Linked DNA regions of Rhinolophus ferrumequinum. The protein of the gene in region 1 interacts with the protein of each later gene in a pairwise test. Links are inferred from orthologs where the notes say so. Each region holds a gene or a part of one and is shown in the gene's direction. Other genes may lie near its edges.

Region 1 (7,659 bases):
AATCCTGTTACCACTGGGAACTGGCCCAGAGAAAGAAATACCCCTTCCATCTACTTTTGTAAAAACATTTTGGAATCAATGATGGCCTCTGCAGAATGCCTCCAGTGGCACTTATAGGCTCCGTGGGTAAGCTAAGATTCAAAAGTGCTTTGCAAAGCATAAAGCACTAAACCAAGGTAAGCCTGATTACTCTGACTCTTCCGGATCTCATCTTTCTCCAAGCCTTCCACCTCGAGACAGAGCTCCTACCGGTATGACCCTGGATGACCCAGCTCTGATCCTGTGTACAGGCTGGCGATCTGTAACAGACTGTAAGTACTCAGATGTTTACATTGAAGTCACAAATATGAGGCAGCAGGCGTTCCTTGCTTTTTTAAAAAATCAATGTGCAATGTTTTCTTCCTCCTCCACCTATTTCCTCCCTGAGTCAGTGTTCATGAACCCTTTTCTCACAGATACTTGTCTTGATCGCCCACGAAACAGTTTTCCTATGCTGCAAGAAACAAGAGTACTTGCAAACAAATACTTCTGCCTGATCGCTATTGCTCATGAATTGAACAGGGCTTCTATTAAAGGTGACTGATCTACCATTTTCCAAATTGATCAACTCTGTGTTGTCTCTGCCAAGCGTGAGACAGTCTGTGAAAAACAGCTCTGTTATCCTCCAGGAATTCAAGTTGAAAAGTTTAGGGATGAATATAAAGATCCTGTGCTTTCTGTAATCATTTACGTAAGGATCATGAGTCAATGTCAGCCATTCTCAAACAGGCGTTTATTTTCAGCCTGCAGTCGTTGATTCATTCCCTTGACAGCTATTTTTTGGGAGCAGGCCCTGCACTCAAGCTCCAGGGATACAGTGACAACTGAGATGGAAGAGATCCATGACTCTGAGGAGCTCAAGTATTAATGTCCTAAGATATTATCTGCAGGGTAAATAGCACTTTTGCATCTGTTATTATAGGGCCAAAGTAGCAAACCCGGAATATTAGGGGGTAAGAGGTGGAGAAGTAACAGGAGGCAGTAAAATAATGTTCTGAGCAATAAGAGAGTCGCATAGAACAGGACTCCTGTAATGCCTCCAATGCAGCTTTCTTGCTTTCTCTTTCCCTATATCATAATTAAAAGCCACCTTGTACTATGAGTCCAGGAGGAGAGACTGAAAGAAACATGGCTGAGAGCGAGGCCTGATGAAGAGCTGAAGAAGACTGATTAGCTGAGTTCTGCCTCACACTGTTCAGCTTAGTGAATCTATATGGTCACTATAATTTATTCAACACCATGAACCAGCATCTTTTGGCTGAGTTTTGAGTGTATAATATCATTCTTGATGTGTTGAAAGAACTCTGAATACCTCTTAGAATGTTGACATTAGTAAGTTGGATTCTTATTTTACATTTTGAATAGGTTCAAAATCCAGAAGGTACAAGACTATAGAGTGAAAAATCTTCCTTTTACCTGTTCTCCCGCCCAGCAACCCTCCCCTGAAGAAATCGATTCAATTAGTTTTGTGGATATCCTTATTTGGTCTGTATTTCATGGGTATCGTAATGAGGATTCTTAACCAGCTTTTCTAAATTGCGAATAAACGTCATCTCAGCCCTGTGGCAACTTGTCCTTCTAGAATATATCCTGTTCTACAAGACTTTCATGAATCAGAAGTTCAGATTTTGTTTTCCTGATGAGTATAGTGTGAGCTGCTCCTAAGGAGGAAAAATGAATGGGAATACTGTCAAGTTTTAAAAATCTGGTTTTCTAAGGAAAACTATATCTGGTTCTGTCAAGATTACAAAAATAATAGCCTTTGCTAAGTGCTACGTCATCTTCTAAGCTACATGTATAATTGAAACTTCACAACAATCACAATAAAGTAAGTATATTTTATAGGTGAAGAAAACAAAGGATGGGCAAATTTCAGATCTGGCCTGGGGCTCCAAACCCCACAGTCTTTTTTTTTTTTTTTTATTTTTTATTGGGGAATATTGGAGAACAGTGTGTTTTTCCAGGACCCATCAGCTCCAAGTCAAGTTGTTTTCAATCTAGTTGTGGAGGGTGCAGCTCACTGGCCCATGTGGGAATCGAACCAGCGACATTGGTGTTATGAGCACTGGGGCTCTAACCAACTGAGCCAACTGGCCACCCCACACTCTTAATCTGTATGATACTCACTATCCATTCTGATAGAGAATAGCAAGAAGAAGGCAGATGGCAACATTTTTTGTTTATACATTTTGTTCTTCTTTATTCAAAATCTTTTGTTCTCAAATTTTAGGACCCACCAAAATTACTCACAATGTTTAAATGCAGATACCCAAGCCTCAGCATTGACCTAGAGAATTAGAATTTCTGGAGGGAGGGAGCTGGCAATGCTTATTTCAACCAGCACTCAGAATCATAGGCAGGTGACTCTCAAGCAGGTGGTTTGTAAGCATACACTGACAAATGTCGTACCTGTAACAACAGTTTGTTTTCCAAAGTTGGCCACAACCATATCTCCCATCACACACGCACACACACTGACAGTTTCTAGACTCTTGCCACTCCCCAAGAGGTGGAGTCCATGTCCTGTACCTTTGAAACTGGGTGGACTTTTGTGACTTAGTTGACCAACAGATTATGGTGGGAGTGATGCTATGAGACTTCCAAGGCTAGGCCAAAAAAGATGATTTAGCTTCTGCTTCTGCTGTTGCTAGCTAGAACACTCACTCTCGGAACTCAGCCACCACGCAGTGAGGAAGCCCCATCTGCCCCAAGGAGAGACCCACTTGGAGAGGAACTAACAGCCAGCACCAACTTGGCAGCTATGAGCCTCCTTGGAAGTGGATCTGGCCGCAGTAAGACTGCCCACACTGATGTAGCATGGAGCAGAGATGAGCCTTCCCTGGCCAAATTGCATATTCAAGAGCTAAATAAATGATGGTTGTCATTTTTAGCACTAAGTTTGAGTTGGTTTGTTAGGCAAAAATAGATAACTGCAAGAGCACACTTCTAACCCAATATTCACTCTGCCAGTCTTCCTACCAGGGTGAATTCTCCTGGGCCCTCTCTAGAATATTCTGAAAGTTTCCTTGTCCAGCGTTATTTATTTTCTCAGATTCTTTTAATCACAGAACCGCTCGCTTCAGACTTCTGGTTATTTTAAGTTCTCATTATTCCCTCTGAAGCTTCATTTCTCATCTAAAGAGCGCTAGTAATAGGAAAGCCTACCTTACACGCTTTATGATTGAGATAATCCATGTCACCATTTAGCGTTGTGCCCCGCACATAATGTTTTCTCTTATTATTCTTACAAGTTTCTTGCATCCATGTTCTTTATTTAATGCACTGTTTTTTCCTTATAGCTCAATGCCATTTCACAAGCTATTTCCCATGCCTGGCATGCTCTACCCGACCACGTCAGTTAGATTCTGACCTCATTCTTTAGGATTCCCCTTCTCCTCTGTGAAGCCTTCTCTGATTTCTCAAACAATTAATGCCTCTCTGCGCTCAAACAGCACCTTGGAAGAATCTCTGGTATAGCCCTTAACACACTGGATTGTAATTAATTGTTTACATGTCTTTCTTCTCCACCGGACTCTTAAATTCCTGCAAGGCAGGGTCAGTTTCATTGTATTCTCATCCCCTAACATAGCACCTGGCACATCTTCATTCATTCACTATGTCTGTATTCGGGTGCTAAGGAAACACCGTAGTTAAGCAGTTAAGGGGTCCATGTTTTGGCAGGCCTGCCTGGGAGTTAACAGCTCCACTTTCTCCTGCATAACCTTGTAAAAAGTTAGTTAACGTCTCTGGGTCTCCCTCTCAAGATTGCCGTGAAGATGAAGTAAAATAGTATCTGCAAAAAACCATCGCATAGCAAAGCAGTCATCAGGCTGTCGCAAAACGCTTCCCCAACAATCTCATTTTCAGGCACCGCCACTCTAATCTTCATTTAGGATCCCTGCACTTTGTGGGTAATCCTTGTCAGGGATTACGCTGGGCTCTCTAATCCTCTCTTTGGACTTTCCTCGAGCTAGCTAGTTACTCTGCGTCACAACCACCAGGTCCAGGCGTTCAGAAACCATTCTTCCCTGGTTTCTCCCTCAGCTATCTGCAAACTCTTCTTTTAGCCTTCTCCGAGTGTAAGGAGTGTGTCAAATAGGCCCGATTTAGGCGACATTTAAACATCAAAACTCTCTGGCTAGAGTTTCCCTGGATAACTTGCGAGACCCAAGTTATCACAGTTGGGAGCTTTGCCACCGAGGTTTGGTCTTCCCCTCCCTTTGAGCAGGAGCAAGCGGATCAACTAGATCGCAGTCGTCCACCGCTGCGCCAGCGCACAAGGCAGGAACGTAGAATGAAGAAATGAACGAATGAATGAATGAGCTACATCGGCAGCCGGGCCTCTGTTACGTCTCCACCGGCGCGGGCGTGGCCGTGGACATCAGGCCCGCCGGGTGTGGGCAGCCCAGTCCCACCGTCGCGCGGCAGGATCACTCACCAGCGCCGGAGATCGGCGCCGCCCCACGCCACCTCCCCCAAGTCCCTGCCCCGCCGCTGCGCGTCACTTCCGCCACCTCCAGGCCGGGGCTGGGGCGGGGTGTGTGTGGGGGGGCCAGGTCCGAGGGAAGCCGGCCCGCGGCCGAGCAGGGACTACATTTCCCAAGGGGCCACGCTGGTGGCGGCGGCGGCGGCGGCGGGCGCGGCAACGTCCCCCGGAAGTGGAGCCCGGGACTTCCACTCGTGCGTGAGGCAAGCGGAGCCGGAGTCGAGACCAGAGGCCGAACTCGGGATCTGACAAGATGGCCGGGCTGCCCCGTAGGATCATCAAGGTAACCTCCCACGCCCGCCTCTGCTCCCTGCTCTGGTCTTTCCTTCTTGGCGGATCGGGCGGCGTGGCCGCTCGCTTCCTCCGGCCCGCGGCCCGCGTTGGGAGGCCCGAGGCTGCACGGAGAGGGTCTGACCGCGGCGGCGAGGGAAGTCGGGCGCTGGGGAGGGGGCGCCGGGGAGACTTCCGGCCGCGGTGAGACAGCCCTGCGGCGGGGACCCGGGGCTTCCAGGCGGCCCCCTACGAATGGGTTCAACCTGGCCTGCGCCCTGGTGGAGGGTGGGGTTGCGGGGTTCTGGTCTGGGGTGCGGGCCTCCGCGGTCTCTCGGACCACCCCCGAACAGAGGCCGCGGGCGCGCGGGAATCGCGGCGGGGCCCGGACTTTAGGCGGAGGTTGTGGCCAGACACGGCCTCTTGGTGTCGGATCCCCCACTCGGCCCGTGAGGAAGCGCAGGGGTGCGGCAGCCCCAGGTTCAGAATGAATGAACCGGGAGGGTGAGGCCGGGCCAGGCCCTGTGCCCCGGGAGGGCCGCGCGTGCTGCCGCCGGCGGCACATGCTCGCTCCTGGCAGTCGGGGTCCGGGGACCTGGGGGCTCCGCACCCGATTGTTCCAGCTTCGGCGATTTCCTCTCCTTTAAATATGTTTCCACTCGTTATCTCTGCGAAGTGATTTTACTCTGGTTTGCAAACTGAAGAGCTGTTTCTGTTCAGAGGAAATAGTTTAACACAAGACTTGGGGTGGGGGGCGCAAGTATAGGGGTCCTTGTGAAATCTTTTGCTTTTCGATTTTGTGCCCTTTAATTATTAGACCGTTCTTTGACTCTATTAATGCTATACTTTGACAAGCATGTATGGAATCATGAAAAATTTGGCATCTTTGTTTTGTAAAGTCTTTATATAATATCAAGTCCTCAGATGTGAAATGTGTCTTGCAATTTACAAAACAAAACCTTGACATTTTTGGTCAGTTTAAATGAAGGAAGTGAGATGCATCTCTGTTGCTCAATATGCGAGTTCAGGTGACTAACTTGCAGCATCATTTTGCTTGATATAACCTGGTGAACATGTATTTAATGTAGTTTGTTTTAAAAGTTTGGGCGAGATGCGTGCTAAGTGAAAGACCTGTTGAAAGATGATGAAATGTAGTGCTTTGTGCAATCGCAATTAAATATATGAGATGGGGGGTGTCTCTGATCTAAAGATGCTTGATTTAGAGAACAATAGGACGTTTTATAAGGTAGAAATTCTTAGAAGTCAGAGTAGGACGAATTGTCATTGTGTGCTGGAGTGTAATAATGTGAACCTTCATAGTGCAAAATTTGTTGTACTGTTTTATGGATTTGTCTCGGACTCTGTCCAAGGCAGTTTAATTGCTGTATGCATTGGAAGGTCCTTACAGTGTGGTTTTAGTTATAATGCAGTCACATGGCTCCAATGGTCAGGTTTATTGAGGCTCTCGTTGAAAATGAGGGGTGGAAGAGCTGTACAATAAATATCCTTGAATTATTATTTACTGTTATTTAGGTTATAGACTAAGTACATAATACAAATTGACATTCAAGATAATCTCCAAAATACATACTGAACTAAAGACTTAACAAATATTTTTCCATTTTTGCTTGATTCTGCAGATATTCTGCAGTAACATGAAAGCCTTGGATGAAAATTAGTTCCGTGGAACCTTGTTCATAAACTTACAAAAATGATTTAAGGCAGTTAGTTGAAGTCCTCATAATTCAGTTAATTCGCACACAGTAATTTACACTAGGTATTTACATTTTACTATTTAAACCAAGAAAGTGATAACTCAGTTTTAATTTTACAGTATCCTGTTGATAGCGTCTTTCTAATGAAAGTTGCTGTGATTTTGGATTTTACCTTGTAAACAGGTAGGTGGTTAATACTATTATAGCTTAAAAGAATTGTTTTCTCCAATTCCTAGGAAGAATTAAAAGATAAAAGTGTTTTTTCTAGTGCCCATGCTTGTATTATGTAGGTTTTTTCCATAATCAGTGAAAATATCTATTTTTTTAATATCATAATTGGAACTAAAAGTTTGCCTCTTCTCTGACAATCTCAGCACGAAGTTCTGTGTGGAATATCGTGGTGGTGGTTGCTCTACTGTCCTGAATGACAGGAATGTACTGTCTTTCACTGGATATTTATTAATAAGGTGCTATCTCAGAATAGTCATTATTCACATTTGCAAAATTCTTCAACCATTTGATACCTGCAGGAATCCTGAGAAGTAGACAATATGTTTTATAGTCTAGAAACCCATTGAAATGACTTTCCTAGGGTCTTAAAACTGGCAAGAGGAAGAACTTGGACCTTGGCTCACTGTGACATTCCCCAGCCTCTTGTTATTATGAAATGAAATAATCTATGTGTAAAAATACCTTGAGACCTGTAACAATTATACAAATAAAAGATGATTTTTTGAACTACTCTTCATCCAGTTGGATTCCCATTTCAATCCAGTAGCAAATTTTCTAGACTCTACTTTCAAAATGTATCCTAAAGCAGATACATTTCACCATCTCTCTTAAATCATTGTTTTGTTCCCTCCTTTGTTGCCTGAGCTACTGTATTAGTTTCCTTTTAAGCTGCAGCTGGTGTTACTTTTTTAAAAAATAGGGCATGTCTTTCCTTTGCTTAGAACTCTACAAAGGTTCTCCATCACACTTCGAATAAAATCTTGACTTTTTTCCCCTCCCTAGCTACAAGTCCTTCTTGCATCTGGGATCTCCCTACCTCAGGTTATCCCCTGCATTTCTCTCCTTGGGTTGCTCCGCTGCAGCAGCCACCCTATTGCTTTGCTGTACGCTAAACACTGGAACCTTGCTTGTTCCGGT
Region 2 (6,930 bases), on another chromosome or scaffold:
TTGTACCAGCCTAGTAATTACATAATCCCTGAATGCAATGTTTGCATGGGACCCTTGATACCCAGATTAAACACACCCAGCCCAAAATCTTCAACATGATTAAGCCATTCTTTCAAACCTAGGGGACACTGCACCCCAAATTTAGGGTCTTACAGAATAAAATCCACTTTAAGTGGGAAAATGCTACCACTCAGTGAATATACCCCCTTATCATGATGAAGGTGGTTCCATACTGTCCTCTTACCAGAGAGTTCTCTAGCTAAAGATCGGTGCCGCATCTGTCGGGCAATGTTGACGATCTCATCAAAAGTGATATTCCCACTGTGCTTAACTGCAGAGAAGAAAAAACAGCAAAGGCTATGTCACAACCCAAAGCCAGAGCAGACCACATGTCCTCCCTCAGCCATTTCCAGGCTGTTCCCACGCTTTCGGCACAGAGTCATCCACATGAAGAACAACCCTGTTTCCTAAGCTGGGGTTTACTATCAGCTCACCACTGGAATGCACCAGCCAACAGAACTGGTCGGGTGCAGTGGCGGGTGGCTGGGCTCAGGGCAAAACCAAGTCTTTGCCAATCCTATGTGGAAGAGACTTTAGAGATGAGAAGACAAACTTAAGTTATTGGGGCTGGTTAAGCTGTTTAGTGACATCCAGCTCAGAAGTGCTGTCTCCTAATTAGTGGTCATCATTCTCAGTGGCTTCACCCGGCCCATTTCCCTCCTGCACAGCACTTCGTGGTAGAGCCTGGCTGTAACAGTCTGACATCAAATCCCCGTGCCATCCCAAGGTTTCATTAAAAAGAAAACATGCAGCTCTGTATGAAGCACTATGCAGACACCACCACTCACAAACCCTGCATCAGGGAAAAAGCCACTCACTGTTTTTTTGCTTCTTTCTGTCTCTTGGTGGTTCTTTGAGGGCTTTGATGATCAGGGCAGAGGCAGAAGGTACCACCTCAATCTGCAAAACAGATTCTCAATGTGAATAAACCCTGCCCCGCTCACCAATGAAGACAACATGGCATGCAACTTGGTTCTTAGAGACCATGGGCCACACTGGATTTGCTGCACATTCTCAAATAATTTTCATCATCTGAAACATGTCCTAGCCTAGGAGACATTAAGTGATGTGCTCAATGTCCCACGAGTGACAAGAGTTAATATTTGAGCCCATGTCTTTGACCGTGGCCCATGCTCTTGAAAAAGCCTTCCCGACAGAGAAACTGCTCTCAACCACTGGTGGCAGGTGGCCACATCAGCAAGAACCTTCCACCCATGAGTCCCAGGCGGTTGCTACGACCTCTGCCCTCCCTCAAGCCAAGTACCTGGGCCTGTCGGTTCTGAATGGTCAATTTCACTGTGATCCTCAGACCCTTCCAATCACCGGTTGCTTTAGCGATGTCATCGCCAACCTTTTTTGGAGACTGTAGAAATAAAAGTATGTAATCATATTGTGCCCAAAGTTGAAGCAGTCTGAAAACCTGCCCGGTCTTCCTTACTTGACAAATCCTCATCAAGCACACAGGAAACTGTCTGAAGCACACAACTGTACCTACCCAATCAAGACTATCACTCCAGTATGTATAAATTGGGCAAATGAGGCTAGAGGTGAAGTTTGTTCAGAGCTGTAAGACGCAGACCTAGGGCCATAATGGGACCAAGTCCCTTTCCTACCTACCCTCTCATAAGGACCCATGTGGTAATGAAGGAACTTTCAACTCTGGTTACATTTCCATCACCTGGGAAGCTTTACAGGTATCAGTGTCCGGTGCCAGACCAATCCAAGTCTAGCTACCGGGATGTGACCTGGGCACATGCGACTTCAGAATTTCTTAGTGACCACTAGCCTAAACAAGTGTTACCAGTGAATGCCAACTGAGCTAAGGGCCAAGGAAGAATATTCAGACTGCTTAAACAAATCCAAGTTTGAGAGCACTCGCACCACTATGCAGGAATAAAGGCCTCATGATACTTAGGGAAGTGCAAATTTAGTAAAACGGAGAAGCAGATAAATGAAGCTGGTCACAGGTAAAGCTAGTCATATTAACCAGTAGGTTTATTGTAGAGAAGAAAATACAAGCTATCCTAATGTACACCAGAATCGTCCAACAGCGATACGCCCAATCCCTGACCCTATTTCCCTGAAAATAAGACCTAGCCAGACAAGCACCTCTAATGCGTCTTTTGGAGCAAAAATTAATATAAAACCTGGTATTATATTATATAAAACCCAGGATTATACTAATTATGTTATATTATACAAGACCCAGTCTTATACTATAGAAAAATAAGACCGGGTCTTACATTAATTTTCGCTCCAAAAGACGCATTAGAGCTGATTGTCCGGCAAGGTCTTATTTTCGCGGCAACACGGTAGGAAACAGGACGTCACTAAGCCAGTCGACTTCAAGTCCCACACTTGACCTCTTCCCGCCCATCTCCCCGGTACACTAACAGCAGTGGTCAAGAGACCTTGGAAAATAAGCTACTGCTTCCCGGTACCGGCTTTGATTTTCGTATATAACCTTTCTACCGCACCCAGTGCCAATTCAGTGCCTCAGGCCGAATCGGGGACAGACGGCCCGTGTTTGCACAAGCCACCACACAACTGTTCTCATACAAGTTAAGAAAAGGCCTCTACGAGAATGACTTACCAGACCCAGGGGGCCGATCTTGGGGGCCAGGGCAGACGTGGCACCCACTTCCCCACCGGTGCACCTCAGGTATACTGGGAGAAAAACAAATGAATGCCTCTGCAGGAGGACCCGCCGAACCACCGCCCTCCCTCCGCGTCTTTTCGGGGCTGGCCACCCCCTCCCCGCAGCCACCTCCTCCTTAGGCGTGGACAGCTCCGAACGCCACGCGGCCGAGGCCTTCGCTTCAGCTCAGGCTGCCGAGGCCACACCGGCCGGCGTGGCTGCATCCCAGCCGCCAGCCAGCCCAGTCTAACGGGGGAGCGCCCGAGACAAGCCTTACCCTAAGGCGTGGGGCGTCCGGTCCTCCCTCCCCATTAGCACGTGGTGGGGAAGCTGAGGCCCAGGAGGAGTGAGAGACTCGGCCAGGACTTCACAGCGCCCTGACGGCAGCACCCGAAAGGCCTCTAGCAGGCAGCCGCTTTCAAGCCCGATGTGGGAAAGGCAACTGCTGGGGGGCCGCAGGGCCGAGGGGCGGCGGAGAGAAAGGGATGCTCCATCCCGCAGCCCCGGCCACATCTAAAACACGCACCGACTTTGACCTCGTTGGGGTCGAACTTTGGCGGCATGATGGAGGCGACTGGTGTCGGATGAACCCGGATTCGGGACGACCGAAGAAAGTTGCACCGCGGCCTCCTCCGCGCCGAAAGCCGAAAGAGCGAAAGACCGGAAGACCCGCGACTACGCCGGATATAGGCTGGAAAGCGCGGCTGTCGCGAGAACCGCCGGCTCCACCCCGCCTCCCAGCGACGCCCTTGTCGCCATGTTGCTTGTGGGCAGGCGCCAGAGGCTGACGGGTGGAGAACCTGGCACCGCGGTGAGCTGGGGCGAGGGGCGAGGGGCGAGGAAGGGAGTTCAGGGCAGTTTGCCCAGGGGAGGCAGACAAGAGAGGGCTGCTCCCAAGATCCGGGGCCTCTCTGTTCCCCATTCTCCCTTACCGTGAGGGTCACCCGTGGTCCCTGTCACCTAATCACAGAGCCCCGCCCCTCCCCTGAGAGGTCCGCACCCTCATTCCGAGTCCCCAGGGCCACAGCGACCCCGGACCCCTTTTAACTCCCTCGTGATGTGTGCATTTTAGTCATCAAAGCAATTTGTTCGGGTCCAAATCCGTTCTAACTCTTAATTCTAAGATTGTGCGGTTCTCAGAGCCTCAGACTTCGTCATCCTGGTCTGCATGACTTTCCGTGATTCTGAGTTTCGGTCCCCCGCTCCTGCCTTTGGAGGAGACCAGTCTCTGGATCCAAGGGAGCTCGTGCCAGGTGGTCTGCGACTGGCGCCCATGACAGAGCCCTACGAGTGATCGGCCTGCCTTCAGGGTCACCAGAGGGAACGGTCGTCAGGGACTAGCCAGACACAAAGCCAGGTCAGACTGGCCCTCCCCACTCCAGCCAGAGGAAGAAGGGTGTGGTTCTCCCCATCTCTGCTGGATGTTGGGGGACGGGGTGAATGAGGGATGGGGTGAATGAGGGATGGACCTGGCACTGGCTGGGAAGAGCTGATCTGGGAGACTTGAGGGAGGTATGATTGCTGGGGAGAAGGTGGAAGGAGCTGGACTTCGGGGAGCGAGGGAGGGAGGTTTAGTCATTGGGGAGCAGAAGATTAAGAGCTGGTCGTGGGGTAGGACGGGGGTCGGCTGCTTTTAGACTACTCCCCATCCTTGCAGGCCGGTGGGGTGACAAGTGCCAGCTCCGCAGTCTTGGCAGCTCCCCAGACAGCTCATGCCCCTGTGGGCGGAGACCTGTGATCTCTACCCCGGCCCCTGAGGACTGTGCCTGTGTCTTCTTCAACTGGATCTCCTTCCTGGCCCTCTTCTCCCTAGTCCTTAACTGTCGTAGGCCCTGAATAACTGTGTGTTGGATGTGTGGCTAACATTGCCTGAGCACTCATTATGTTCCAAGTACTGTGCTAGAGGCTTTACATACACGATATCACTGGATTGTCACAGAATCAGGTGCTGGTAACATTATTTTGCCGATGAGAAAACGGAGGCTCAGAGAGGTGAACCAAGCAAGGTGACATGGTTGGCGGGTGGCAGATCTGGGATTCAAACCCACTTGTATTTCCTCCCCAAGCCTGTGCTGTTCACCATAAACCTCCGTGGAGGGTTGCTTCCTGGCCCATCTATATCGGTTATCAAGCGCTGATATGTGCAGATAGTGGGCAGGCAGTGAGCACCTGCCTTCCGAGTTTGGGACAGTGCACTTAGTGTGTGCTAAGTTATTTGAGCACCAAAGAGTTGGGCAAATCCACAGGATCAGGACTCAAAAGAGCAGAATTCCAGACTGGTTTTGCTACATCCAGGCTGTATAACCAGCTCACCGATCTCGATGATTGTCAGTTTCATCACTATAAACAGAGGTGTGGTGAGAATTAGACGTAATAATAACTGTGAGAGTGGTAAGGTGCCTGAGAATTGGTTTTGAATTTTTCTTATAAAAAATCTCTTTGGTTATGATATAGTTGAGCTCCCCAAGGTCATGGCTGGTTGATACCACCCTGACACTGTTTCAGAGGCTAGATGCGATTCATCAGGCCAGCCTGTTAGACTCCTCAAAGAGCATCTTTGGACAGGACCTGAGGAAACCTCTCTAGGTCAACCCCCTTGTTTAACGTGGAGAAGAGATGGGAGACCAGAACAGAGCAAAGGTATGCCAGGGTCTCATAGTGGCTGATGGCAAATGTGGGCTGGAACCCAGGTCACCTGGCTTGCCACTGTGCTCTTTCCACCACGTTGTGGTGCTTATTGTTTAGTCAACACAGAACAAAAAGTACTGAGTACCTGCTCTGCCTGGCTCAGGGCACAGAGTGACGGTCGAGATGGACACAGCCCCTGCCCTTAAGGGATATACAGTCCAGCCGACCAGCTCCATGCTGTGTTACCGTGCTACCTGTCCTGGGTGCCGGGGGGTTCCCCAGCACCCAGGGAGAAAAATTCCCCAGACCCCAACTTTTCTCCTATGCCCTAGTGTCGTGAAGATTGCTCCAGGAAAAAGGAAGAATGCCACTCTTCTTCAGGAAGAGGAAACCTAGCGAGGAGGCTCGGAAACGCCTGGAGTACCAGATGTGTCTGGTGAGGGAAAACGGCTTTCCTCGGAGTCCATCTCCATCTCCGCCTCTGTCTTACAAAACAGGGCTCTGCACTGCTCCCCAGACAAGCCTTGCTCCCTCCCATCAGCCTTCCCCACCCCCAGAGGAAATGTCTGACTCAGAGCAGACTGAGGAGGCTACCTGTCAAATACGGGAGTGCCCTGTACTTCCCACCATAGACTGACACCTGTCATCCCTTGTTCATTTGCTCTTCCCTGCTGGCCCTCAAGCCCCTTTAAAGCCTACAAAATGGACACGTTGAACCAGATGCTGTCTGTGGTCCTCTGCAGAGTTGTAATCCTGTTTCTTTGCCTGGTGTGTCCACTCTGCAAGGATGATTTGAACACTTTTTTAAAATAACTCTTTTTATCCTTAGGCAAAAGAAGCTGGGGCAGATGACATTCTTGACATCTCTAAATGTGAGCTCTCAGAGGTAAATTGGGGTGGTGTCCTGACTGCGAGTTTGATCTGTCCTTTCTTCTTGAATCATGTGTTCCTGGGACAGACAGATGTGGACTGGGGCTTTAAAAGGTCCAGACGCGCTAATTGAGGTGTTTCCTTAGATTTTGTTTTTGTCCAAAAGAATCGAGATGATCTTAGGCCTCGCCATAGTCTCAAACGAGTCAAGGAGTCTACTTGAAAAATGTACCCACAGATTCCTAGGGTCCTGGGAGAGTCTGGGTTTCTCCAGCCTCTGCAAAGCACCAGAGATCTTTCTTCAGCCCCTGATGGAAATGATGCCGGGGATGGGGATGAGGGGGGCGGGCTAGCGCCTGGCAGGGCGATCTCCTGCCAGCTGATTGGAAGGGAGGGCTGACCACGCCCCGAGCCACACTCCTCACCAGCCTTTCCTGGGCTTAGTGCTGTTCTCCACATCAGCATTTGGCATTGTTCGCCTTCTGCCCCATCTCTCCCTCACACGTGTGCCAATCAGAAAACAAATTTAAAACTGGCAAAGAGGCACTGACTCTTCTTTATCTTATCTTAGATTCCATTTGGGGCTTTTGCAACATGCAAAGTTCTACAGAAAAAGGTGAGATGAGTCTTTGTTTTCAGAGAATTGTTTATTGCATGTTTGTTTGCTGTGAGGTAAGCCTTTCAGGAGCTCTCCTGGCACCTCCCTTCTCTCTGATGCTCACCCTCTCTGCCTG
Region 3 (6,987 bases), on another chromosome or scaffold:
AATGGGATGTGTTCCATGCAAACAAGGAAGTGAAAGAACAAAGTGCAACCATGGGATCAAGAAAACAGAATCCAACATAGAAGAGCAGTGAAGGGATGACAGCTGTGTAGTTGGTTTGAAGAATAACCAGTGTAGCCTGGAGCAGGAGGCCAGGACAGAGGTTTATTTCCAATAAAATATAGAATTGATAGATTAGTCATCAGAATAGTTTTATAGTTCAGACAGGGCCCTAGAAAATAGAACAAACCAAAATTTGAGTTAATTATTAACTCCAGGGAAAATGAACAATTGCATAAAAAAGGAAATATAAATGATGTGCCTCAGCCATGAACAAGATTTGTATGGTCATATTAATACAAAAATGAATATATCATATAATCATATTGGGGATAAGTGAACGGAAATGGTGTGTGAATGGGTGATATAAAAGAGATCATTCTTCATATTCCATGGTAAGAAATCAATACATAATGTATAAAAATGGAAAAATCAAGAAAAGCAGTATAAACCTATTATTGGAAATACATGGGTAAACATGAGACAAATGCTTAAAGAATAGTCTTTGAGGAATAGGAATCAGATTGGGTAGGGATAAGAAGAGGATCTATTTTATAATAAGTAGGGTTTGTCTGGCACAAAGTTTATCCTTGTTAGTCCGGCATATTTTTATTACCATTGTTCTTGCCACAATATCAAATGATAAGGCATTTAAGCCATCCCACAAACTAACAGAATCTGAGATGGAAAATCAAGAAACCAGATTAATAGTTTAGCTATTAGAAAAACAGATTATGTAAAACAATAAATAATTCATCCTTTTGTCAGCCTTGTCTTTGAACAAAAGTTGTAATGGTCTGCCCAATTAGGCATAGCGGAAACGGAAATCACCCTCATGGGAGGAAAGGCCATACCTTCCTTGGAATCCCAAAGGATGAATCTCTGCAGCTAAACCTCCAGACCAGGGAAGCAGTTCTAATGGTTGTCTTATTTTTCAAAACACATCTTAAAATTACAACAATAATGTATAATTAGTTCAGAAAAGTAATAAAGATAAAGCACAAAAGAAAAATTTAAATCATCTAAATTCCATCACCTAAAGATGAATATGATTAACATTTTAGTGTATGTATATCTTTTTTTCTTATACAAATACAAAAATGCCATCATTTACCATGCAAACTTCTCAGTAACCTGCTCTTCCCTGCAGACACTGCACTTTGGACATGGTTCCATATCCATGGCCATATGTCTACATCTTTCTTTTTAGAAGCTGCCTAATCGTTCATCATTTGGATTACTGTATTTGACCAATCTCTGTTGCCAGATACTTGGGTTGTTTTCATCTTCTTTATTTCTTTTTTCCTAACTTTACACCAACAAAACTCTGCACACACATCCCTACACACACGTGACCAGTTATTTCTTCAGGATAGCTTCCCTGAAGTGAGATTACTTTGCCAAAGAGCATGCATTTCAGGGGCCTTTCTAGCTCACGTTGTAAATTGCCCTCCGGAAAGGTTGTACATTCCCATCGATAGAAGATATAATTTTTTTTTTTAATCAGTCGGTGCTGTTACTTTTTCTAAGCATTAAACCTTGAGGGAATAAGGCTAGGTGGTGGGATGGGAGACAGTTGAAACAAACAAGAAATATCAAAGAATTACTTAATCGCTTCTTTAATATTTTTCCAATTTCAAACTCTGGCCTGACTGGTTCCATCTTCAGCTCACACCCCAACTCTCCCTGCACGACCCTCTTTTACCTTATTTGAGTTTGGGTCAGTCTTTCCTCACTAGTGAGTACATGCCTTTGAAGAGAAGGACTTCACCCTAAATTTCAAGGTTTGGACAGCAATATCACCCAGTAATAGGGTCACTGTGACATACCCAAGGATTCTGACATTTCAGAACCAAGCTTGTTAGAATGAACTATTTAATACAATCTCCCACATGGATCTGCCAGTTGTGGAAACAAAGCCACATTGAAGCTAGTTAAAACACAGAAGCAGAGGTCAAGAGCTAGGTTGTACATTCCTACACCTCCTCCTCTGATTCTTTCTCCCTGCTCCAGGGGCGTTCCCTTCTAAGTCCTCCTCCTCTAGCTGTGTACTGAAATGGTTTTAATTGCTTTAATTTAAAGGGGTACCATTTGGAGGCTACATTCTCACAGTTCATTCTTTGTTTTCCATTCCTCATTCACTCCAAGATTGAGGGTCATACCCCCATTCTTCCTAAAACGCCCACCCCTAGTTTAAGACATTTGACATAAAGTTTTGCATAACAGCGAACGTTTCTCTTGTAATTCTTAGGTCTTTTCCTTCCTGATCAAGGGGGTTGGTAAAAGCCAGCCTTGTTTAATTTATGTATGCAATCCCTTTCTTCCTAAGGACTGGCACAGAGATTTTCATAAAGAGTATTCACCACTGGTGTTAAATAAATATACAACTATGTACTGCGTGCTCACCCACACTACTCATTTTATCTAAGTTCTTGCTGGCGGAGCCCATACTCAGGGAGGGTAATGAAAGAAAACACAGATAAACTTTGCACTGGGACACATCAACATTCAACAACCTTTGTCCTGGGAACTCAGTGCTTCATTACTTGACTTTTAACACCCCTCAGACTGAAGGGGAGGAAAGACTCTAACCGGCTGGGACCAGTGGGCCTAGTTCTAACTGCCCTTTCAGTCAAACCTCTCCAACGCACAATGCACAAACTACATTCTCACCTAGAGACGGAAAAAAATCATTGTTTTCTGGGTTTCACCTTCTACCACCTCAAACCAACTGTGCCAAAAATTTCCCAATTCACGAGGACCTAACATAAACGTACTCTTCTATTTTTATCGATTTTAAGAGGATAATTAACTATCCTATTTTAACAAAAAAATACACAAAATGACACAGTCCAAAGTCCAACCCTTGGACAAAATCAATTACTAAATATCTGCAGGGCAAAAGGAAAGAGAGCGGAGAAGACATTGGAGGAGCACCTTTGGGAGCTGTTTGGAAGCCCAGCCAGTCAAGGCTGCGGCTTCGCACTTCTTTACCGCCTCCCTCCCCAGCCACTGCTCCCAGCTGGGCCACCCCCTTCCTCCTCCTGCCTGGCGGGCGCTCCTTCCCGGCCCCGCCTGAGGCCCCGCCCCGCCGCCGACGTCAGTTGTTATGTCTCTGCTCGGGCTGCGGTCGCTGCCGCTCTGCTACGGAGGCGACTGTCGCGGCCTCGCGAGGTGACGGGGACGGCGGCCGGGGTCCGCAGCGCCCATCCGAGCGGGGCGGGCACAGCGTGGCCTGGAGGCAACCAGATAGCCGCCCAGGGAGACGTCTTGAGCTGTTTTTTCCTTTTTTTCCTCCGGGACCTTCGCTCCGCGCGCCCCATTTCCCTTTGCAGAGATCGCGGACGCCCCCTCCCGGGCCGGGCCGCGGTGCCCGTCCCCCCTGAAAGGCGCCGCCCGCTGGCGGGAGAGAACCTGGAGCTGCCGCCGCCGCCGCCGTGCGGGCCCCGCTTCTCGCGGATCCTGGGCAGCCGGCGGGGCCTGGGCCCTGGGCGCCGGGCGCGGCGCTGCGGCGCCCGCTTCTTCTCGCGCTGGGCCCCGGGCCTTGCCGGGCCGAGCGGGGCGTCCTCTTGACCCGCCGCCGCGGATTCCCGATCGGCCCCTGCGCCCCCCGCCTGCAGCCGGGACCCCGCTTCCTTTGTGGATCGGATTTTTTTTTTCGTTTCCTCCTCCCCCTTGAGATTACGGTGCTGGAAGGCCGACCCCGCCACTTCGGTCAGTTGCCCCCTGCCTGGGAGCGTCCCTTCGTTGCATCCCCGCGGGCTCACCCGGTGTTTAATGGGGCTTTTTAAGTTTTTTCTGTTTATTTTTCTTGCCTCTTGACTGGAAGGCCCCGCGTGAAGCTCTGCGCCTCTGCCCCTCCTCGTCTGTTCCCTATCCTCACAGATACCCAAATCCACCTGCCTCCGGGCCCGGGATGTTCCAACAGTGACCGCGGCGAGGGCCGGCCCGCACGCGCAGATAGTGCCCTCGCCCAGGCCGGCGTGAATACACACTCCCCTCACCTCCTCTCTTTCGTATTCTGAGCTCTCTGAAAAGAGAGAAGACTTAGGGGAAGATGTGGCTGAAGCTTTTTTTCTTGCTCCTCTATTTTCTGGTCTTGTTCGTCCTGGCTAGGTTTTTTGAGGCCATTGTGTGGTATGAAACTGGCATTTTTGCCACCCAGCTAGTGGATCCGGTGGCGCTGAGCTTCAAGAAGCTGAAGACCATTTTGGAGTGCCGGGGGCTGGGATACTCGGGGCTGCCCGAGAAGAAGGATGTACGGGAGCTGGTGGAAAAGTCAGGCGAGTATCGGGCTCCCCCGAGGTCCCCTCCATCCGGGGTAGTGGCCACCTGTACTTCCTCGTACCCTGGTGGTCCCCCAGAATTAGGCCTTACCTGGAAGAGTTAAGCCTACCTCCTCCGAGAGCTGCCCCAGTTTTTCATTGTCCAGGTTTTCTACAAAAATGTGAATCACCGTTTTGAGAAGGGGTCTGGAATTAGGTGTAGGGGTATGTCTGTTTTTAAGGTTATTTTAAAATAACAGTTTAAAGTGCAGCTTCTTGGCATTGTTACTAAGTTGAGTGATTTTCTCAAAATATGGCAATGTCACAAACGAAAGCATTATTTGTCAGTTAAAATTCATAAGGATGTAAGAAAAAACCCAAAACGTTGTCACAGTAATAATAGCAAGTTACCCAGAGAGAAAAATGTCATTGGAATATTTAATTATCAAAGAGACATTTAAGCCTAAGATATAAGTTTAAAATAATGAATAAAATAATGAGTTTAAATATAGAGAAAGTGTACACTGTACAGTACTAACTTTTCATACTTCAAGTTTGATGAAAATGAGGTGAACATTTTTTTTTTGTGAATGCCTACCTTGTTTGTTTTATATTTCTTTCAGGATTTTAAAAAAATCCTTGTATGTAAATGTTTATTTTCTTTCCGTGTCACAGACACTGCTGCATCAATGAAATGGGTTGTGAAATAAAATTCGAAATAGTGCTAAGAGAATAACTTCTTAAAGAATGCATTTTCAATAACTGTGGTTTTGGGGTAGGATTGGGTGAAAAATATGGTTTGGTTTTTTTTCACCCCCTGCACAAATGTGTCTTGTTTAGATATACTTCCTGGGAGGGAATGTACTGTCCTTTGAGAAAGGCATTCTGGGTTGTAGGAAGCAGTAGAAACTGATGGTTATCTTTTTTATTGTTTCAGTATATCTGTCAGCTGTGTCTTTTACAAGAGAAATATTTTCCTTCTTTAGTATCCTATAGCCATATAGTATGACAGACCAAGAATATTAACTCCAGAGGATTTAGCACTCACATATTTGCAAGTTAAGGGTTATCAAATTCATGTATTATTACTGAGGTAGAGAAGGGAACCCTCTTTGTAAAGTGATACATTTTCTTTAAAGGAAACATAAAATTGTGGTATTATTCTTGACTCTTATTTGCTGACTGGTTTATGGTGACTTTTATTTTGGGGTGTGGGGCTGCAATGGAGTAAAATAGAAGATATCTAATAAACGCTCTAGGTTTAGCAATGAGAAGTATCTTAACTGCCAAAGCCAAAATATTTTCCATAGTAAAATAGTTTGGTAACACATTTTTTTCCTTTCGACTTTTATATAGTATTCCCTTCCTTTGGGCCTAAAAGTACTTGTCACTTTGAGTGTACAGGAATGTACATATCACTTAAAGAATATATATAGCCCATAAAAATATGACTCAGATCACACATTCTATAGCAGCGAAGTCTTGGTATAGCAATTTAACTTTATAATTTAAATATTCACTGTGAATGGCTTTGCTGCTATCATGATAAAAGCTTGTTTTCTCATTGTTAACATTTAAGGCAAAAGTAAAATAATTGGACATTTAGTGTTTTCCTTTACTTTTACAAGCTCTAAATTTACACTGTTAATGTTGTGTATGAATGTGGAGTTTGTTCTTATAGGTGATCTTTATATCTAACCTCAAAGTCATATAAAACTCTGTTGCTATTTTAAGCATGCAGCGGCGGCAAATTCTGTAAGCCTATTCTAATTATCTCTAAGTCAGAAGTATATAAATCATACTGTTTAAAAAGTATTTGAAGCCTGAACATGTATACACAAAAGTAGATAATATGGTGGTGGCTTTTGGACTGGTATAAACTTCACTTATTTTCTAATAAATTATGGTGACCCTCCCCTCCCAGAATGTAAACCCCATGAGGAGGAAACAGATTTTGTCTGTTTTGTTCATTTTTGCCTGACACATAATAGGTTCTTACTATATATTTACTGGATGTATGAATCTTAAATGGGTATATTCAGTTTCTACTCTTCTGTATCTGCAATGAAAGTACAAGACGATTTTTAACAGTGTAAAATGGAATTAATCATTGAAGTTGGGAATGAGGGAATTTTGAAATCTTACTAATTTGTTTTTCTTGTCTTCAGGTGACTTAATGGAAGGTGAACTCTATTCTGCACTCAAGGAAGAAGAAGCATCTGAATCTGTTTCTAGTACCAATTTCAGTGGTGAAATGCACTTCTATGAGCTTGTAGAAGACACAAAAGATGGCATCTGGCTGGTTCAGGTATCAGAAACTGATTGAAGTGAATTTTTTTTTAATCATAATAGTATTCGCCCGCTGTGTACTTATGTCATATTTCTTAGCCATAAGTCAGTTCTCATAGGAAGGCTCCAGTGTCCTCTTAAAGAGGTTTTGCAGACAGGGAAAATGAAAATTGAAGAGTGTGAGAGGGGATTGTTGGGGAAAGAGGGTTGACTGCTTTGTTTCGCGTCAACAGAAGCAAATCCATTTTAGTTGTTGGCTCTTCATTAAAGTAAGAAGCACATACATATATTCCTTTCTTTCAATTTTTGTTAACTCCAGTTTTTAATTCAGTGATCCAAATAATTTTTGTATCTGGAGGAAGAACACTAAAGTAAA
Region 4 (6,919 bases), on another chromosome or scaffold:
GAACAAACTATTGCTACACACTACAATATGGGTGAAACTAAAAACATGAGTGAAATAAACCTTTATGAGTACACACCGTATGCTGCCATTTACACTAAGTTCAAGAACAGACAAATAAAATCTATGGTGATAAAAATCAGAACAGTGGTTGAGACGGGGATGGAGGAGTTGATAGGTATTGACTGGAAAAAGGCATGAAGGAATTTTCTGGGGTAATGGAGAATGTTCTTCATCTTGATCTGGTTGATGGTCACCCAAGTATATGGATTTTTCAAAATTCATGAGCTGTACACTTAAGATGTGTGCACTTTAACTATGTAAATTATGTGTCATTAAAGTATTGTCAGGACAAAGAAATTAAAAGTAAGCCATCATTTATAAGGGCAAACTTCATTCCATTGAGAACAGTCTGTCTATATTAAAAGATATTTATTTGTAAATTATTTCATTAGCACTTGTTCAGGATGATCTAACTATTTTATTTGCAAGATATAAAGTTGTCAAGAGACTAGGAAATTTCCAGCATTTACAATGACTCTCTTACTTACTTTGGAATCAGACTGTACGTTTCCTTTGTTAGATTTCACTTTTACTTTCAATTCTAGATTCTGGGTAGAATCTTTATGTATTTCTTTAATGAAAAATGTTAAAAACTTATAGTGCAATAGTATTAGGCTGGAACTGAAGTTGTTACAGGATTATTATTATTATTATGTGAAATTCCTTCCAAAGAAAGAATTTTTTACCATAATTACCCTCAAGGAAAAAAACACTTTAAAGTTGATTATGTAATAACACAATATTGAGAACATACCACTGTTAAGAGTTATCAAAGTCCCAAACCAGGAATGAGGTGAAATGCCTTCTCAACACATACACATTGACAGTAGAAAAAAACCGGAGAACTAGAGATACTAATAGCCCTATGTGTCTACCTTGTCACTTTCCTCAAACATTTCCTTTCTTATTTCTGTCTCTAAAAGAGTATTTGGAGAGAAAATATATTTAGGTAAGTTGGATGCTGGAAGGAAAAGGGGAGTTTTTATATAACATATTTGGAATATTCATAAGATTAGAAGGAAAATGTAAAGTGTGTTACACTATTAAAAATCTGGGTACAGTTTTGGAATAGAGTAGGCCCAAGTGGATAGATTGACTCCATTTTTGTGAGTCAACAAAGATTTATTGAGCACCTACTATTTGCTGGTGCCCTGCTAGTACTAGAATAATGAGGTGAATAAAATATATACAGTCCTTGCGCCTAGGAACTTAGAATTGTTACAGGAAAACAATTCCTTTGTTGTTGTTTTTTTAAGAGTCTCATGCGCTACCGACTGAGCTAGCCGGGCGCCGCTATGTTGTTGTTTTTTTAAATCAACGATAAAAGTTGTGTAAAATGTTGCAAAAGAGACATAACAATCCACTCCAAGCCCAGACAAGTCTGATCCCAACAATCATCATTTGGAAGAACTTGGGAATCCTCGTCAGTGCAGGATTTCTTAGCCCACGGTTTTTAAATTGGTATAAGTGTTCTCTTTGGTAAACACCAAGTCTTTACAAAGATGTAAAAATGTGTAAGTGGGAACCCAAACAGTTTTAAGGGAATTAACAACCTGATGTTATATTTCCACATGTAGTTTTTCCTAAAACTGATCTGCCTGAAACCAAGAGCTGTTCCAGTTGCCAGGTCTCTTTTTTCTTCTCACCAACCTTTTCACAATGGTTCTCTCTTCTTAGGAAATACAGGCTCACCTGTTATCCATCTTGGGTTTTAAAATGATGTATTGCCCTTAGGCGTAAAATCTTCCTGGACAATTAGAAATATTCATTGTTTAGTGTTGAGAAAATGAATGGTTCTGATATCTGGCTATAGAGTTGCCAGATAAAATATAGGACACCCAGTTAAATTTGACTTTCAGATAATCAATGAATAATGTATTGCATGGGACATACTCATTTGTTATGTATCTCAAATTTAAATTTAACTAGGTGCCCTGTATTTTAATTTGCTAACTCTGGCAACCCTACCTAGGGAACAAACATTTTGTGGTTTCCAAATCACCGATTTAAACAAAATCGAGTTGTCTACTGATAACTAATTAACTTTTTGCATTAAACATCACTAAATGACTTTTGGGCTATAAAACAAATGTTCAAAAAATTGTGAAAAGTTGATATAATAACATTTCTTCTGGGCGTGGCCTATCTACTTATTTATTAATATGTAGATTTTTCAACACTTACAATCTTTAGAAATGAAAAAAAAGGAACAGAATCTATGCTGAACCCTATCATATTCTAGCAATAGGTAATATTCATGAACATACTTGAAAAATTGTTCAAATATATACTGCAACCCCATTAAGATTGCATTTGTAATAGAATTTAACTTTTTATCTTTAGTAATTATCAACATTTATAACATATTTATATTATTTTGACCAGTTGTGTATTAAGCACTGTGATGCAATCCGGAGTAATTTTTCTTTAACACTTAGAGGGTTATGATCACAGGAAAAAAAATTGAATTTCAATTTATACATACATTGTTTCAGAAATATGTGCCCAAGTGATCATAAAGATGTCCATTATGAACATATATTAAAATTCGGTGGGGGAAGTAGAATGTTCAAAAAGGACAAAAGGCAGTGACATACTATTTCCAGTTATTACAGATGAGCTAATGTGTTAATTGTTGAACAGATAACAGTGGCTATCAAATGGCTATGATATTTGAATACATTTAAAAGAGTCCTGGATCAGTTTTATTCTAAAATATCTGTGTCTACATTTTGTAGTTCCTTTCCAATTACTACAACTTTTATGTTTTAATGTCAAGTTAAAAATGCTCAGAGGAATAGTTTTTCAAAATTTTTTTGGTGGGTACATGATCAAAAGTGTATAAAGACCACAAAATGTTTTTGATCATCCAAAGGTGAGTTGAAAATGGCTTACACAGTTTTGAACTAAGCAGGTTCAAACGATGATTGAAGCCTCTCCATGATAGACGAACTTAATCTTTTTGATATAATTCCGACTGGGACTCTAACTGGAACTCATCCTGGTTATACTGAATGGAATGGGCACATCTTCTTGTTTCCACAGGATAATGATGAATTAATGAATAATATTATAGATTCTGCCTTTGGTTCCCAATTATCTTTGATCTACTGCAAGACAGGAAAATCAGGTGAGCTCTCTTCGTCCATCTGCTTCCTGGCAAGCACTGACGTTAGAGAAAGTTGCTTAAATGTACTGCTTAGACAAGGAATGTGGAGGAAATATGGCAGTGCAGTTAGACTCAAACTTCAAGTTTCCATGAGAATATCACAGTAACTTAGATGTCTCCTCTGTGAGACAAAAAGCAGAATTTTTTTTATAGCCAATTCTACCCTCGTTAGAAAAACAACCAACCAACCAACCAACAAAACCATTTCAATATAGGAAACTAACGAGGTGATCTCAATCTTTAACACAGTAAAACTGAACTGAAAAGGAGAGTCATGTGATTTTTTTTTACATGCTTCTGCATTTCCATTCATGCCTTAACTTTCTTGATTAGAACATAAAGTAAAAATTATCAGAAAGATTTCACAAAGTTTATTTTTTCTCTTCTTTTCAAAATATGTATATTAGGAAATGGGCCTTTTCCAGTCAGGCTGACCAATGATCAGCTACTCAACACAGGTTATCAATATTTCCTCTGACCCACGAACAAAGAAGTAAAGATCTTTCAGTAAATGCCACGGATACGCCACGGTTAAGAAATAGTCATGCTTTTACGGTCATGGAAATCCCCCAGTGGTTTTGCCAGACCACTGATTAAGAAGGGGAAGTGTATGTGGTTATTGCCGCTGGATTTCCCCTAAGTCCTAAGAGGAAAGCACCAACCACTAGGAGTGCAGGACACCGGGTGTGTCGGGTGTGTGTAGGTGGGGGTGGGGAGGGCGCAGTGGGACATTTAACAGCAGCGTGAGACTCTAACCCGCGCGGAACTGCCGGGGCGACAGGTGTCAGCCGAGAAGACTCGGCAGGCAGGTAGGTCTTGCTAGCGCACCTCGGCCTCCGGGCAGCAGGTGGGGTGACCAGGGCCGCTGCGAGGCTGTGTGATTGTCAATCCCCCCAAACCCACCCCCTCCGATAGGAGACGTTTCTGCTGCTCCGCCAGAGGAGCGCGGGGCCAGCAGCGGAGTCAGAGTGTCAGCGGGGAGACGCGGTCATCAAACCAGGGCTCAGAGGTCGGCTACAGGTCGGCTCTCCAGCAGATCAGGAACAAGGCAAAGAGTGTGTCCTCCGCGAGCCTGGGCGTCTTTCTTTTCCCCGGCGCACGGGGCGCTCTTTTGACAGGTGGCGTTGGGGAGCGCCACTGCCCCAGAGCCTTTGCTGTCAACCCAGGGGGAGGTGCTGGGCGCGGGGCCGCGGGGTTCAGGGGGGCGCGAGGGTGCTGGCCGGCCCCGCGCTGCCTTCGCGGGCACTCACTTTTGGTCCGCTTTCCTGCCGGGTGCTCAGTTTCTGTTTTACTTTTGGGGACAGCCAGTGGACTGGGGAAGCTTTGATATTTGGTTTAATTCGCTTGCCAAGCGCAATCACCTGGTCTTTGTGCCAAATAAGCTTCAGAACAGAGCCTAAAGCAGAATGTTGCCACAGTAAGGACTCAGTAAAACATTTATTTAATGAATAAATGGAGGAATGTTTCCAAATGGTGGCAGAAAGCAGATTTTTTTGGTTGTTTTCCTGGTGATTAGCATGGAAATCTGGTAGTGCTCTAAATTTAGTTAGTAAAGAGCCGGAGGCATTTACCTGACGCTAAAGTAACTAACCATAATGCTAACTTACTTTGCTATTATTTATTGCAAACATTAGGTGTTGCTAATTCCTATTATATGCTAGGACCCCTCCGAAGACTTCACAGGTATTTTTCAGATTTAATTCTTACAATCTGAAGAAGCAGTTACCATAATTACCAGTAGCTCCACTGACAATGAGGAAACTCTGGCTCAGGGAGGCCTACTTGCCCAAGATCACAGGCCTGGTAGGGGACACTGAATGGTATTGGAAACCCAAGTTGTCTGACTCCAAAGCATGGTATTAAGCCATCACTGTGCAGACTTTGTGGCCATTAATATAAAATTGATGTCCTTAATACCATGCACGTGGTCATGGGGGCTCAGTTAAGTTTGCTAACATTCACTTCTTCAACAGAAAGTCTTTGTTACTACGTTATATGCCAGGCTGGTTGGATATTGGGGTCGGGAGGGTACAGAGCTGAAACATAGTTCTGATCTGAAAAAGCAAACAGTCTGGGGGAAGGCAGAAAGAAAAGCAAATTTATGCTCCAGTGTGAGAGACGTGGATATGCCAAGTGTGAGAGACATGGATATGCCAAGTGCCCAAGAGCGTAGTTGGGCTCAGGGAGGTTGCCCCCTGGAAATGTTATAGTAAGAAGAGGTTGGGGACTTGAGCCAATCTGAGAAGGAACCACTAGAAAGGTAAGAGGACTTCCAAGACAGTGGTATCAGAGAAGCCAAGGGAGTAGAGCATTTCTAAGAGGAAGTGGGCCCCAGTGTCAGACACAAAAATTTCCATTGGTTTTGGCAAAGAAGCTATTGGTGCTATTAATATTGAGATTAGTTTTAAGTGGCTCAGGCTAAAGCCAATTGTCGTGGGTGGGAGACCTTAACCATAGACACTTGTTCAGTTCACTTGGCTGTGAAGAGACGATGAGATACAGGATGGTTGCTAGTGGAAAGTGTGGTTGAAAGAGGTTGTTTTGATCTGTTTACATTTGAAAGCTGGGACAGACTTAAGCATGCTTGTTATATTGAAGGAAAAGAGCCAGTAGAGAGTGAGAGTTGAATAAATGAGGGGGATGGGGGTGAGAGCAAGATTTCTGAAGCAGTAGGCGAGGATGGGACCTGTACAGGGGCAAGCGTTGTTCTCAGAGGTAGCAAATAGCTTGTGAGTGAAAAAGGCATGGATTTGAGGATGTGAAAGAATTACTGCTCAATGATGTTTCTTTTTTTGAGAAACAGACGGCAAAGCCATTTACCGAAAATGAGATGGGGAGTAGTGGAGGAGAAATTTGAGGAAGGTATTGAATGTTTAGAAGAGCTGCATAGGGCAGTGGGCTGAGGAGCTGCATAGGGCTGAGTAGAATAGTTAGGGATGGTGAAGGGCCAGCCCAGGTGGCCTCTGAAGTCATGCTGGTCCCAGTCTGCAAGACTGCAGATCTTCCCCAACAACATTTTGAAGTCTAGGTGTTGGAAATGGTTAAGACAGAGTTTGAATGATCCAGGGTTGACATCTTGGCATATTTTTGTATATTTATTATATAACTGTTGTCTAAATTTCTACAAACATGTGCCTTGTTTTTACAGCAAATCTTCTTTAGGGTAAAATCTGTGTAAGGGGTTAGCAATCTCAAAGGCATAGGGGCCAGGCATGTGATATAAATTAAAAAAATAGGGGTAAGTTGTAATCAAAAACATACTTTGTTCACATATGTAACATGTAGGAATATTCTTCCTTTCCACAAAGAAATATGGTACTCTCATTTTTCTCTACACATGTGTCCCTCTTTGTCTACCTTCCATTTTTGTTACTTTTGATAGACACAGGTATTAGGACAATTTCACTTTCCTCATAATTCTACTGCAAAAAAGGCAATAGTGCTAGCTCAGTGACAAGTAGCAACTGATAGTCTTTGTATCAGGGAGTGAAAGTACGGTGCCAAACTGGGGAGCATGTGCCCTCTGTAAAGGGTACAGTTGCTGCTGGGAGCTGGCTGATTATTGCCATACAGGAATACAGGCCCCGTGTGGCCAGATCTGGTTTTTCAAGAGAAGCTTGGAATCTAGAATGTTATGGGAAATCTCTTACTTTTTAAAAATGTTGGTAATTAATTAAAACATTTAACAAT

What was found.
Region 2: the proteins of UBE2N (region 1) and LRSAM1 interact in binary tests that used the Homo sapiens proteins (3 or more experiments, as listed by UniProt). The link is inferred for Rhinolophus ferrumequinum from reciprocal best matches to the Homo sapiens genes UBE2N and LRSAM1.
Region 3: the proteins of UBE2N (region 1) and E3 ubiquitin-protein ligase RNF103 interact in a two-hybrid assay, tested with the Homo sapiens proteins (3 studies listed by BioGRID and IntAct). The link is inferred for Rhinolophus ferrumequinum from reciprocal best matches to the Homo sapiens genes UBE2N and RNF103.
Region 4: the proteins of UBE2N (region 1) and BIRC3 interact in a two-hybrid assay, tested with the Homo sapiens proteins (2 studies listed by BioGRID and IntAct). The link is inferred for Rhinolophus ferrumequinum from reciprocal best matches to the Homo sapiens genes UBE2N and BIRC3.

What each region holds. Positions count from the first base shown.
Region 1 is NC_046293.1:84,615,744-84,623,402, reverse strand, and holds the start of UBE2N (ubiquitin-conjugating enzyme E2 N), read left to right. Parts: upstream 1-4,774; 5' UTR 4,775-4,778; coding exon 4,779-4,808; intron 4,809-7,659. Other genes in the region: COPII coat assembly protein SEC16-like, read left to right, coding at 4,358-4,774. UniProt on the Homo sapiens protein: The UBE2V1-UBE2N and UBE2V2-UBE2N heterodimers catalyze the synthesis of non-canonical 'Lys-63'-linked polyubiquitin chains. This type of polyubiquitination does not lead to protein degradation by the proteasome.
Region 2 is NC_046295.1:76,587,663-76,594,592, forward strand, and holds the start of LRSAM1 (E3 ubiquitin-protein ligase LRSAM1), read left to right. Parts: upstream 1-3,919; 5' UTR 3,920-4,055; intron 4,056-5,658; exon of another isoform or gene 5,659-5,668; 5' UTR 5,669-5,690; coding exon 5,691-5,762; intron 5,763-6,155; coding exon 6,156-6,212; intron 6,213-6,767; coding exon 6,768-6,812; intron 6,813-6,930. Other genes in the region: RPL12 (60S ribosomal protein L12), read right to left, coding at 245-331, 879-960, 1,325-1,423, 2,654-2,727, 3,225-3,261.
Region 3 is NC_046296.1:7,873,654-7,880,640, forward strand, and holds the start of E3 ubiquitin-protein ligase RNF103, read left to right. Parts: upstream 1-3,976; 5' UTR 3,977-4,114; coding exon 4,115-4,340; intron 4,341-6,490; coding exon 6,491-6,630; intron 6,631-6,987. UniProt on the Homo sapiens protein: Acts as an E2-dependent E3 ubiquitin-protein ligase, probably involved in the ER-associated protein degradation pathway.
Region 4 is NC_046294.1:71,855,923-71,862,841, forward strand, and holds the start of BIRC3 (baculoviral IAP repeat-containing protein 3), read left to right. Parts: upstream 1-3,905; 5' UTR 3,906-4,038; intron 4,039-6,919. UniProt on the Homo sapiens protein: Multi-functional protein which regulates not only caspases and apoptosis, but also modulates inflammatory signaling and immunity, mitogenic kinase signaling and cell proliferation, as well as cell invasion and metastasis.